Caenorhabditis elegans: one gene and its partner. The protein of the gene in region 2 interacts with the protein of the main gene of each other region in a pairwise test. Each region holds a gene or a part of one and is shown on either strand. Other genes may lie near its edges.

What was found.
Region 1: the proteins of cnp-3 (region 2) and tax-6 interact in a two-hybrid assay, tested with the Caenorhabditis elegans proteins (one study listed by BioGRID).

Annotation. Positions count from the first base shown.
Region 1 is NC_003282.8:10,494,771-10,502,682, forward strand, and holds the start of tax-6 (Serine/threonine-protein phosphatase 2B catalytic subunit), read right to left. Parts: upstream 6,291-7,912; coding exon 6,251-6,290; intron 5,766-6,250; coding exon 5,676-5,765; intron 5,428-5,675; exon of another isoform or gene 5,149-5,427; intron 4,940-5,148; coding exon 4,839-4,939; intron 4,792-4,838; coding exon 4,306-4,791; intron 3,986-4,305; coding exon 3,846-3,985; intron 3,798-3,845; coding exon 3,720-3,797; intron 3,644-3,719; coding exon 3,549-3,643; intron 3,447-3,548; coding exon 3,321-3,446; intron 3,276-3,320; coding exon 3,198-3,275; intron 1,773-3,197; coding exon 1,764-1,772; intron 497-1,763; coding exon 412-496; intron 159-411; coding exon of another isoform or gene 61-158; intron 1-60. UniProt on the Caenorhabditis elegans protein: Calcium-dependent, calmodulin-stimulated protein phosphatase. Dephosphorylates arrd-17. Dephosphorylates daf-16 at 'Ser-319' which regulates daf-16 nuclear translocation. Dephosphorylates calcium permeable cation channel pkd-2 at 'Ser-534'.
Region 2 is NC_003284.9:17,135,370-17,139,929, reverse strand, and holds cnp-3 (Calcineurin-interacting protein 3), read left to right. Parts: upstream 1-1,819; 5' UTR 1,820-1,822; coding exon 1,823-1,906; intron 1,907-1,957; coding exon 1,958-2,644; intron 2,645-2,762; coding exon 2,763-3,371; intron 3,372-3,424; coding exon 3,425-3,646; 3' UTR 3,647-3,930; downstream 3,931-4,560.

The DNA of each region.
Region 1 (7,912 bases), on a different chromosome or scaffold from region 2:
GACGGACTTTAAACGATTTTGGACGGATCAGGATCGAAGAGACATCAGGACAAACATTACCTTCTCGGACACCACGTGATCCACCTTGAAGTGTTCCCATTGGAAGTGCACCGGTTGGTGTAAGTCCTTTCAGTGCGAGAACACTTTCGCTCTCCTCGCTGAAAATATGAAAAACCACATAAAGAGTTATGAACTTTGAAAAAAAAATAATCAAAAATGATTAATTAACAAAAATTGTCAAAATCATGCTTTAAGTATGTTGTTTTTTTATAGAAACATTAAATTAAGATATATGTTATCAAAAATAAATAAAAGTTAACTAAAAAAAATGCTCATTCTATAATAGAAAAAAACTTTCTATTTAAATTCATACAAATTCGGTTTAAAATTGAAAAAAATTAATCAACTTACCGAAGAACTGAGAATGCTCTTGCCATCTTTCCAATTGCTCGAATCTTGTGTCGAATAACCTCTTTTCTTGCAGACCCCACTCCACCTGAAAAATTAATTTTTAAAAAAGAACCGTCAACATTTACAAATGACATGGCAACAACTTCAAAAGGGGTGACACCATTCACTGGCAACCACATTACCAATCAATAGAAATCCCCGAATGAAGTTAGAAAAATGTCAAAAATAAAATGAAAGCCATGTACATATATATTGGCTAATAGGTGAAAAATTACTACTTGTAAATAGTGTGAATATGGGGAGGGCAAAGGGGGTAAAAATTTGGGATTTTGCAATGTGCCAACCGTCACCGAAAATGATAGAGGTTGAGTTAGAGGAAACGGGTCCCATTGGGATTTGAAGGGATTACGGTAGTTTTTGTTGTAAATAGTTTTAAAGAAGTTTTATGCTCTTGGAAAAGAAAATTTATTTGTCTAGTTAATTTAACTACAATTTTTTATACAAAAAACTAAACTTGTTCGATTGTTAACATTTTCTTATTTCGTTCCAAGATTATGTTCCGTAAGAATAGCCAAAAAACTCATAGTTTAAAAAATCTTCTTGTCGAGTAAACATCAATTCTACTTTTACAATTTCATAATAATTTTTCAAATATACCGTAATATACTAATAAAATATAAAGTAACCTTTTTGAGAAAATATTATGTATAGAAAAAATATACACTTCAAGGTCTTTTCTCACAGGTTTGGGGAAATTTCCACTTTCTCATTTCTTATACCGTACCCCTAAAAATCCCAATAAAGACACCCATTTCTTCCAATTAGTAACTAATTTTTAGGGTGGGGAATCAAAACCAAGTGAGAGAATTTTGAATTTTAGACTGCTCGAATTCTTTCATTTTCTTCGATTTTTTGACTTTCTATTTTTTTTCAATGTTTAAAATTGGAATTTTCAGAATTTTTGAAAAGAGACCAAAACACAGGAGAAGACCAGGTTGGAAATCCGACATAAAACATGCAAAACACAAGGCGTTAAAAGTTTAGCAGCACACAGCCAAATGAAACAACTAAAACAATTATAATTAGAAAAAAGCAACGTATTTTTTTTTAGAAAAACGGAACAAAAAAGATAAGCAGAGCAGCCACATAAAAGTCAAATAAATAGAAAGCCGTATTCAGAGAGAAAAATAAAACAAACTAAGAAATGGTGTATAAGCGCCAAACGCCCGAGGTGGGTGTTGTTTAGGGTGTTCCGAAGAAAGTTTGGTAAAAAATTAAAGAAAAAATAAAACTAAATCTGATAGTCAAACATACGTCACCAGTGTGTGGTGGGTAGGGGAATATCCACTTACCATCTGCTCCTTAAAATTTTGATTAGACTTTTTCATTATTTTTTTGTAGCTAGTTTTGAGATTAATGTTTAGATCTTTACTGAGATTTTAACATTTAACTTTTTTAAAGGCGCGTGCGGTTAAGGAAAAAACGGACGGCTTGAAAACACAGTTTCTGACAAATTTGTCAAAATTTTATTGGATTTTCAGAACAAGTTCAAGCCTGCAACACTGGGAAAAGGTAACAAGTTTACCGACATTTCAAGGTTTTAGAACAATAGACAAAAATTAAGGGATGATGATATTCTTACGATGGCATGGTACTTCTGTCATTCAATTCTATTGACAAAATGTCTTCCAAGCCAAACATGGCTCCGGCAAATGAGCTCAAAATTTCTACAAGTAGTGCTCTGCTATGCTCAAGGTCAACAATACATGCGTTTTTTTCTCAATCGACATCATGGTTTGTGTACTAGTGACTAGCATTTCTACATCGTTCGAAAAACTATATTTCAATTTGAAGTGTGAAATCCTACAAAAAATTAAACCTACAAAGTGGCGCTAATCTTTTGAATACTGTACACATAGGGAGCGTATGACTGCTGAGAAATGCTAATTCAGATGAGTACAATAGTTACAGTTTTGAACTGAAGTAATCAATCATGTCAAACTGAAAAAGAGAACACCTATATATTTCAGTCATTCTCAGTCAGAGCACACACGCACACTCACACAGAAATATCAATTCTCATGCCAATACCTTTTTTCGTTTTTCCTTTTCTTTCTCATGGTTTCTTTTTCAGAGAGCTCAATCAAAAAAAGAGTAGCACAACATTCAAACAATGACCAAATATTCAAAAAAAGGGAGAAAAGAAGGAAAGAAAAAGGAAAAAAGAGAAGGAAAGGAAAAGGCAAGAAACTAGAGAGAAAAGAAGTAGAAGAGAGACAGAGAGAGAGAACCGTACCGGACACACAACACCGATTTTTGTGCATTTTTTGAGGTTTTTGAAGGAAAATTGGAAATATTCCTATTTCCCTTTCAAACTCTCAGTGCCTTATTAATTTTCAAACAGTCTCTCTTCTTCTTCTCCTCTCCTTAGTTTATATCACAGTAGGAGAAAAGAGTGATATGAGGTGAATAGGAACAATTTTCTGTTCTTGTTAAGATATACATTTACAAATATATATATAAATTAATCGAGCAAAAAACACATGTATTCCATCTCTTGGGGAGAACGTTTCAATGCGGCTTTTCATTTGCCAATTTGAGCCGAGCACAAGACAAAATCATTGAAAGTGTATAGAGACAAAATTGGCGGTAGAAGATTATTTTAATTTAAAAAAATTATATATACATAAATATTTTTTGTTGTGAAATAATTCATATTAAAGTGACCTAGTTTTTTACGCAGTAGGACCTCCTTTGAGGGAGCCAGTGCTTAATCATGAACATACCTTCAAAGGTGTCATCGCATTCAGCCATCAGCTCGTCGTCAGAACAAATGTTGAGAATGTGAACCAGCATCTCCGTTACTAAAAGGAAATCTCATTTGGTTTTCGACATATTTCTTGCTATACCTTTTTCTCCCACAAACGGCAATGACCACGTGAACACATCCATAAAGTTCGGCAGCCAATATGGATGAGGACTGCAGTTGAATTGACGAATATTCATCACATTGTTCTCGTACTTCAGGATGGCAGCTGAAAATTGTTAAGTTGTTTAATGTTTAATGTTTAATTTTCCGAATTTTGTTTTCTTTTTGTTTCTCCGTCAAAAAATGCCATTCCCATATTTCCTCTCACCTTTGTTGTTGTAGACATCCAAATAATTTGGAGCACTGAAGATGGTGATCAACGATGGGAAGCCTGTGGCTTGAGATTTGCGATACATGCGGTATCTGGAAAATAGAGTAGAATTAGAAAAGAGGATTAAGGTTCTCTTTTCGCATCTCCTGGCGACGGATAAGCTCTTACCCGGCATCTTGAGCTTCATGTGCGCGAATGATGGAGAGCAGATTGTTGTGTTGCAGGAAATCACAGCATGCAGCGTAGCTATAATATTTCGTTCTATTAAAATGAAGATTATAGTGAATGGGATACCTGTAAAAGTATGAGCACCCTCTAACCGAATTGTGACTAAATTGTTCTGAATTCCTTTCGTTTCCGAAATCTTCAAGTGGGTCTGACCAGAGAAGATCACACATTGGACCAAATGCTGGGGGCTCCTTGAATCTGTCTATCTGAAAGTCAACAAATTAAATAGACATTTAAGATATGGTCGTAATTTCGGATTAAAGTTAAACAGTACTTTAAAACATATAAAACAAACATATACCGTAAATTTTCTCTCAGTATTGCACCTAACTATTTCACTTTAAAAACTTCACTCGGTTCATGATACATATCAAAGAAATTAATTGAAAATATATTGAAAAAGAACTAACAAATATTTTGTTAATTGAGAATTTTTTGATAGAACAAACGACAACGGGTACCGTACTAATAGAGAAATACGGTATTTTTCAAAATATTAGTTTTAGATCTCATGTTTTTCACTAACCCTCCTGATATCCTCCAAAGTATGGATTTCTGGGGACAATCCACCATGAACACAAAGGAATTGTTGGTTCATGAGAGCTGCCAACGGTAGAGCATCAAATGACTCCATGCACACATCGTATACCCGTTCAGAGTACTTGATCTTGCATTCTTGTTTGAATGTAAAGTACTCTGTCAAATGACGGCATTCATGGTTTCCTCGAAGCAAGAACAACGTGGTCGGATAGCAGATTTTGAGTGCCCACAGATACAGGACACATTCAATCGAGAAGTATCCTCGATCCACGTAGTCACCCAAAAATAGATACTTGGTAGTTGCGGGCGATCCGCCAACTTCGAATAGTTTCATGAGATCGTAGAATTGACCATGAATGTCTCCGCATACAGTAACCGGCGCCTCGATTTCCAACATCGTTTTTTCGTTGCGGAACAGGCTTGAGCATTCTTGAATCACACGAATCGCGGCTTCTTCTTCTATCCTTCCTTCCTGCAAAATTGTTGATTTGATTATATTCTTAAAAATCTATTCCACACCTTAATAAAATGATCTCGAAGAACTTCATGCCTTGGTTTTCCAGTCCGCCGGTCGTAGACCTGATCAACGGTAAGGCGTTCGGAAACAGGAAATTGAACGGCTGAAAAATGAGAAATTAGAAAAAATATAATGTTTTCATTATTCCATTTTACTTCCGAATTCCTTCATCTTTCTATTCCCTTCTTCTATTTTTTTTTCAATTCTTCTCAAATTCCATGCTCTTCTCACGCTCATCTTCCCCACATGGCGCCCGAGCCGCCGCCGCCCTCCTAAATTACTATGGGAACCCTCTCAAGCGTTTCGGGATTAATTTTCGATTTCAAGCTACAGCAGTCACTCACTCCCCTTCCTTCCCGTCTTCTCTCACACACACGACGACGCCAATGACGGCGACTTCGTCAGAATCTTTTCGAATAGAAAAAGAGAATGACGGAGAGAGAATCAGAGAGAATAAGAACTCTCTATCTCTCGATATATTTTCTATGTGCCTGGTGAGCCGACGCGGAGCCATTGGTGAGCTCCTCAGAGCAACGGACCCGCGTGAGTCAGACAGTGAGAGTTTGCGCTGAGAATAGACGAGAAGAAACTCTCTGCGGCTCTGCAGCTCACGACGACAACGGGACAAGCAAAAAAAAAAATTCTCTGCGCGTATAATTTCTGGCTTCTTCAATGTGTGTGTGCCAATGTGAGGGTGGATGGGGGTGGTTGTGGTGTGCTGCGCAAAAAAAAAGAGAAAAAAAGAGCATGGCGCTTTTCTCCGTAACCTGAAGCAAGAAACACTTTAATTGGTTTTTCTTTTTCAAACTGCCGCCCGACTGCAGAAGCCAAATACTTACTCTTGACAAATCGTTCGGTGAACTGCTTCAAATCACGTTCGCGTTCACGATTGTTGTTCGAGGCGGTGGTGGTAGTGTTGGTAGTGTCAGCTGAAAAAATGGTTCTTTTCATGCATTCCAGATGAGATCCATTTTTCTTTCGCTAGATTTTTTCGGATAGAGACACCTAGAAAAAGGATGAAGCCCCCGACGACTGCGTGTGTGATGATGCACAACAACACTACAAATTCGATTTGTGTCTCTATTTCCTTCTAAAATCATTTTTCGAGGGGGCAAAAGGAGATAGAGGGAAAACAACAACTAATTTTTCGATAACATTTAAAGGTATGTAACGTGAAACGGAAACCAAACTTCAAAATAAATTGATTTGAAAAAATATTGTTCTTTTCCCGTATTTTCCCAATCAAAGAAAATGAAAATTCTAGTTCCTACTAAAATTGAAAATGGACTATTTAACTTTTTGAAATTTATTCAAAAAATGCTCAATGTTTGCTGATTTTAGCGATAGTCTTAAATTGCAAAAAATAAGAATAAAAACAATGGTAGTTTCAGACGAGGATTCAGTAAATACTTACGTTTAGCTGCAGAGTTCTGTCCTGCCGATGTCGAGGCCATTGTGTGTGTTTATATATTTAAAATTGATGATGACTTTTCCTTTTATCGACTGATTTTTTGTTTCACCTGCAATTCAAAATTGTAAGAAAGTGAGGGAAACTCTGGAAATGGTGTGGAGTTGCGCGGAGCCGAGTATCTTGGGGCAGCTGACTTGTATTCTTGAGCTCCTTTTTTTCCTTTTTTCTTCATTTCTCTTCTAGTCTCTCACGCGGCTCTCCTTCTCTCGCGGACACCATGGCGATTCAATTTTTATGACTTTTATGAGAGAGAGGCCAATACCTCATATATTTTCCTTTTTCGGCGCGCGGCGCCACTGACGGATCGGATGTATTTTGTTGGAAAATGAAAACGAACCCTTTTTGTTCAAAAAAATGAGTGAATGAGCTACTCTGGTTTGGTATGAACCCGTAGATGAAGCGGGGAAACGGCTATGTGTGGAGATGATGTAGCTTTGCGAAACAGTACGATACCCTCCTTCGGACCGTTTCACGTCACTTCTCTTCACACCACGGCACGACGGATCGATCTTTCACAGGCCTGCAATCAACATTTTGGTCAATTTTTGTCATACGGAGAGAAAAAGTTCAACATTTACGAATTAAATAACGATTATGAAAGAATAACGTCCCCGAAAAATAAGATGTTCCAATGCAAAGCTTTCCGTTCAATTTAACAAATTGATAGTTAAAAATTTAAATTCAATAAGAAAAAGAAAAGAAGCTTGACCAATCGAATAATTCAGATTGAAGGGAAAACTAGTTGTGCATGCCAAAAGGCGACAACAATGGGCGGGGTTCCTTTGGAAAAGACGAAGAAAAGGAACAATTGAGAATTGGAAGGAGAATCAAGAGAAATTTATTTGAGAAACATTACAACCAATTTATTAGCGAATTTTCTTAAAGCTAAAATGTCATCAAAATATGATTTACATCATTGAGAGAGCAACTATATAATTATTCTAGAGAACAAATTTATTCCGAACGTTTCTTCAAAAATATCTTAAACATCATTCATTTTTGACAACTTTATCAGGAAATTCAGCATCATCTTCAAAAAAAAAACAGTCAATACCACACTTTATTTTTTATTTCGCGAATTATTCAATTCTGACAGTTTCTCTGTCGTTTTGTCAACTGACAAAATAATTGTTCTGTTTCTATCGTTTTATGTATACTAGGTAGTGCAATACAAATAAAAAAAACGATATCAGTTGTAGTACTGTACAACTCTAAGTGTTTGTATTTAAAAATAGAACTTTCAAACAATTTTATAAGTTGAAAATGTCTTCTTCCTAGGAGCGATGTCATTTTCTAACTACTGTTCAACTCATGCTATGTATTGATTAAATCATTTATGAGCAGAACCAAAAACCCACATGACTTTGAAAAAGGGAAAGATCAAAAGTAATGGGCGGTGTGTGTTATCGATAAAAAACCTTTTTTCCCTCTGCGTGAGAGAGATGCTCTTTTTCTCTGCTTCTCTCTATCGATAAGGCACAATGAAAAATGAAAAGAAGCAGCACGGAAATTGGGTAAACATATGTAGCGATGCGACAGAAACGGAGAAAATTAGAGAAATAGACAGTTTCAGTTAAAGCACGTTTCAAATGTTGTCTAAAAATT
Region 2 (4,560 bases):
CCCTTTTCCAACATTAGAATTCTTTAAAGTTCCCTGTTTTATTGAGAATTTGAAAAACTCACACTTTTTCGCAAGTTTGCATAAAATTTCAAACAGTCCTAACGGAAAAATACAGTAATTTTCAACTGGGAACTAATTTTGAACAGGTGCTAGTTTTTGAATTTCCTCTGTTAACGTAACACAATCTACCTGCACTTCAAATAAAATAAAGTGTAGTAGTATTGCAATGATTAAAGTACAATTGGACTTTTGCACTTGTGGTGTTAAAAAAATTTATCTGGCACACCGTACATAACGGCAGTCTAGAAATTTCGACACCATTTGCGTGACATTAACGTCACATGATCATTGCTCACCTGTTTGGGAAACTACCGCATGCGGAGCAATCGATCCGCCTTTTTCCAATTTGGTACCTTTCCCAGAAAGTGTCCCGCCCATTTACAGAAGCGTTTTTTCTCTGGAATGTTCATTGTTCGTTGCTAATTTAATAAATGTCTTTCAATGCCTCACTATAGGCTCATCTTATCTTTTTTTTTCTTCTTATCACCCAGTTGGCAAACATTCAACTAATATAGTTCGTAACTCCAACACCACCACCCATTACGTTTCTCAATTTAACATTTTAGTATTTTCCATGCCCAAGTTTGAGCTGTCGGCACAGTCGTTATTGAGACAAAGGGAAAGTCCCATGAACTTTTAGAAAGACTCAATGCCGCAAAGAACTTTCACTTTTTTTTTGTCTGTCTTGTATATGTAAATGTTACAAGAACCACAAAAGAAACCATAACTGACCTCCTATTCTTCCCGTGTGCAAGAATTTGATGCGAACACTGCTGATTTTATGACGCGTTGACCTACATACTCTCTCTTTCCTTGCAATACAACGCTTACATTGCAACAGTTTTATCGGTTTTTGTTGTCACTTTTGTTTTGGTGTTTTGCTTGTTTTGCTTGTTTTTTTCTAGTTGTCTTAAACGTCAACGTCAAATGGAGTTAGTTTTCCTAATTTTTCAAAATATTTTTTTGTTCTAACTAAGAGGCTAGTTTTTTCTTGAAGTTTACTATTAGTCAATATATTAACATTGATCAATTTGGTTACAAATAATTTGAGAAATCAATTTTTAATAAGTAGTTGTGACATATGATAGTAGTTTGTTTTGAATTTCAAAAAAAAACCAAAAATGAGCAATTTACATTTTTTCAGAAAACTAAAAACTGTTTTCTTACGAAGTTAAAATTTCCTATGACAGTATGTATACTAAAGTAACGTGAAAGAGCCAAGTTTTAATAGTTCAAAATCAATTCGCTAAAAAAAATTACCTTTTGAGCTCAAAATAAAAAACAGAAGTCTCGAAAAAATAAAGTTGAAAAAAATACTAAAACAACATTTTCAAACGTCACTTAAAAATTAAACAGTAAAATTTCCCCAATCACAATTATCAATCAGATCAATAAAACAAGTTTCCATTATCTTCTCTCTATCTCTTTGTTTTCGACTTGTGACTGTCACTCTCTCAGCGTGGGCGTTGACTGATTCACCAACTGACCGTTACGCATGTGACAATGACAATTCCCCAAATTGCGAAATGACATTTGTCAGACCGTCACGTCATCACTTTCATCCGATTTGTCATGTTGTGTTCGGTCGAGACAACACCCCGAATTGATTGATAAAATAATTGTATTTATATAGGCAATCTTATCACATTTTATCCCATTGCTGACCTTAGATTTCTTGACGTTTCTTCTCCACTTTTTTTTTGACAATTTCTCTTACTCTCTTCGTAGTGACTTAGTGATTCTAAATTTCAATTTTCAGAGAATGCGCTCCCTAAAACGCGAAAACTCAGGTTCCGCCTTATCCGTCAGAAGCTCAGATTCCGAAGGTGATAGTTACCATAACATGGTTAGTTGTTCTTTTTTACAAGTGTACTTAAGTATATCTAAATTTTTTCAGGACATTAAAAAATTAACTAATAAAGTTAAAGAAATTGACATTTCCGCCTTCGACCGCACAAGACTTTTCAACCCAAGAAAGCAAAGATCTTGTCACAAAAGAGCTGAACCAGTGTCAGAAGAGCACCGGAAAAAGGAGAGCAGCAAAAACTCCAGGGAGTATACCAAGAGGAATCGTGATGAAATTGTCACGTGTCAAAAGCTGTTTTCTGAAATCACAGCCATTATGCGGAGGTTCAAACAATTGACCGAGGAGATGTCAGTGGAAACAGTGGAAGTTAAGATTAAATCCATGATCAAAGACTGTCAAGAGATGCTAACAAAGTACACGAATTTGGATTCAAACGACAGATTTAATATTGGAATTCCCGAGGCTGAAGATTTTTTGGCAATTTTCCGCGAGAAAGCGCATGCAACGATGCTTTTCGAGCATCGACCAGAGTCTCCGAATATGTACACCGAAAATCTATTTAAACTACGCGAGCAATATCACAAGCTCACAGACCACAAGGACAATTTGAATTCTTCAAAGGACAAAACCAATTACGCGTCGTCAAAAAGCAGATTAAATCAGAGAATTGTGAGGGAACAGTTGAAAAGTGACTGCTGGGTATGTTGGAAGAGCATTAACACAATGATGGTCCAAGGAGAGCAACTTCAGGAGTACAACAACGAGCTGAAGAAAGATGTAAGTCTAACTTGTTAGGTGTTCGTAAACCGAGGTTTTTCCTGTGCAAAGAACACTATTGTTTACGAGTTGTTATCTTTAGAATGAGTAGAACTTTCTAAAAAATTTGTACTTTCAGATATGGAACAACATCTTAGCTGTCTACCACCAGATTTTCACCATGTTCTGTAAATATCCAGAATATGCAGACAAGGAAAAAATGGAAAGAATTGTGGAATATTTTGCTCCAGTTTCGAGAACACCAGGGCACCTATCTGTTGTCTGGAATCCAATGCCAAATGTTGTCAAGTCTCCACGGTCAGAAGAAATTCCAGAAATCAAAGTCGAATATGAAGAAGTTCCATCGTCATCTACCTTCTTATCTAACAACGAAACAACAATCGCAAGTGACATGGATATGTCGATTGATCGACCGCAAAGTATGGACATGTCGCAAACGCTTTCTCCAGAGCAAACGCTTTCTCCTAGAGAGAAGCTTCAAGTGCAAGATAGAAAGATCTCAACGACTCAAGAAACTCCTCCGGCGCTGCCATCACCATCCGGAACACTCACACTCCCAACAGTTCCAGCTTCGACATTAAAACGTAAAGAATTTGGTGACTTGTTGGCCTGTCCAACCGGCAAACGTGTAACTATTGATGAACCCAATCGAGCAGAGCGCACTGAGACAATTATGCCATCTAGACAAATGATGTACCCAATGGTGAATTACCAAGCACTTCCAATGGTAAGTTTTTTTTGAGAAAATGTTCGTCCATTTCAAAAACTTCTATATTTCAGCCACCACAATCAATTCCATCAATGATTCCCCCATTCATCCCTACGATTCCTTCGACGAGCACAATGCCTCCAATGATGCCGTATCCAAATGTTCTACTCACTGCTGCTCCGGGAGACGTTGCCCCAATCGATTCACTCACCCCATCATTTTTGAGAGCATTAGAGCAGCAAAAACTAATGGCAGCATTTTTAAATCACGCTTTTCAAAAATGTCAGAAGTAATTAAATTATTAAATGAACATTCATTGTTCTAACGCAATCTTAATAAAAACCGTATGCTTTCACAATTAGTTCAGGGTACTGTAGGACTGTCAACTGATAATTTTATAATCAATTTGTTTCTAGGGACTTACTCATTTAAATAATCGATTCATATATTGACTATCAACATTACCGGGCTCAGAAAATTTGAATTTTCTATGTTTTCTTTGTTTTCTACTTTATTGATTCTGTTCTGTTTTCACTTAACTCACATTTGAATTTCACAAATAAAAAGTTCAACAACGGAGTGTTCTTAAGGACACAGTTTATAAAAACGCGTGATTCCCCTCAACACTTTTATCTATTTCTGATGCTACAGTCGTCTTTGGTTTTTGGAGAATTGCCAGCAAGTCTAGAACATGTGGAATGGGGGAATAACTGACTTTTTGAACATGGAGTAGTGCAAAAATTAGCAGTGAAAACTTGCTTACCGTATACTATTTTAAATGAAAACGCATTGAAGAAATTTAAAATATAAATTTTATACGGTCATCGTAATTACAGATTAATGAACGGTGTTTTCTCACTTTTCACAAAAACCTGTTAGTCTTCTATAGGGAGTGGAAGTTTTTTTATTTTCCTCTCAATAGGGAATACCGTATGCTGTGAAAAGAAATATAGAATGAGTGATCCATTTTCTGAACGCTTATCAATTGGAAATTCCGAATTTTAAATAAAATGTTGCTCAATTTACTTTCGAGACAATTATTCTTGAATTAAAACTATATTTTGCGGAATAAAGTTGGCTTTGAAGTTACCTATCTTTGTGAAATTTAATTTTAGATAGGTCAAACTGTTTAATCGGACGAAATAATCACCAATGTATTTTTTACATTTTCCAGTTAGTGACGGTTCAGTAAAGCTCATTTCCACGG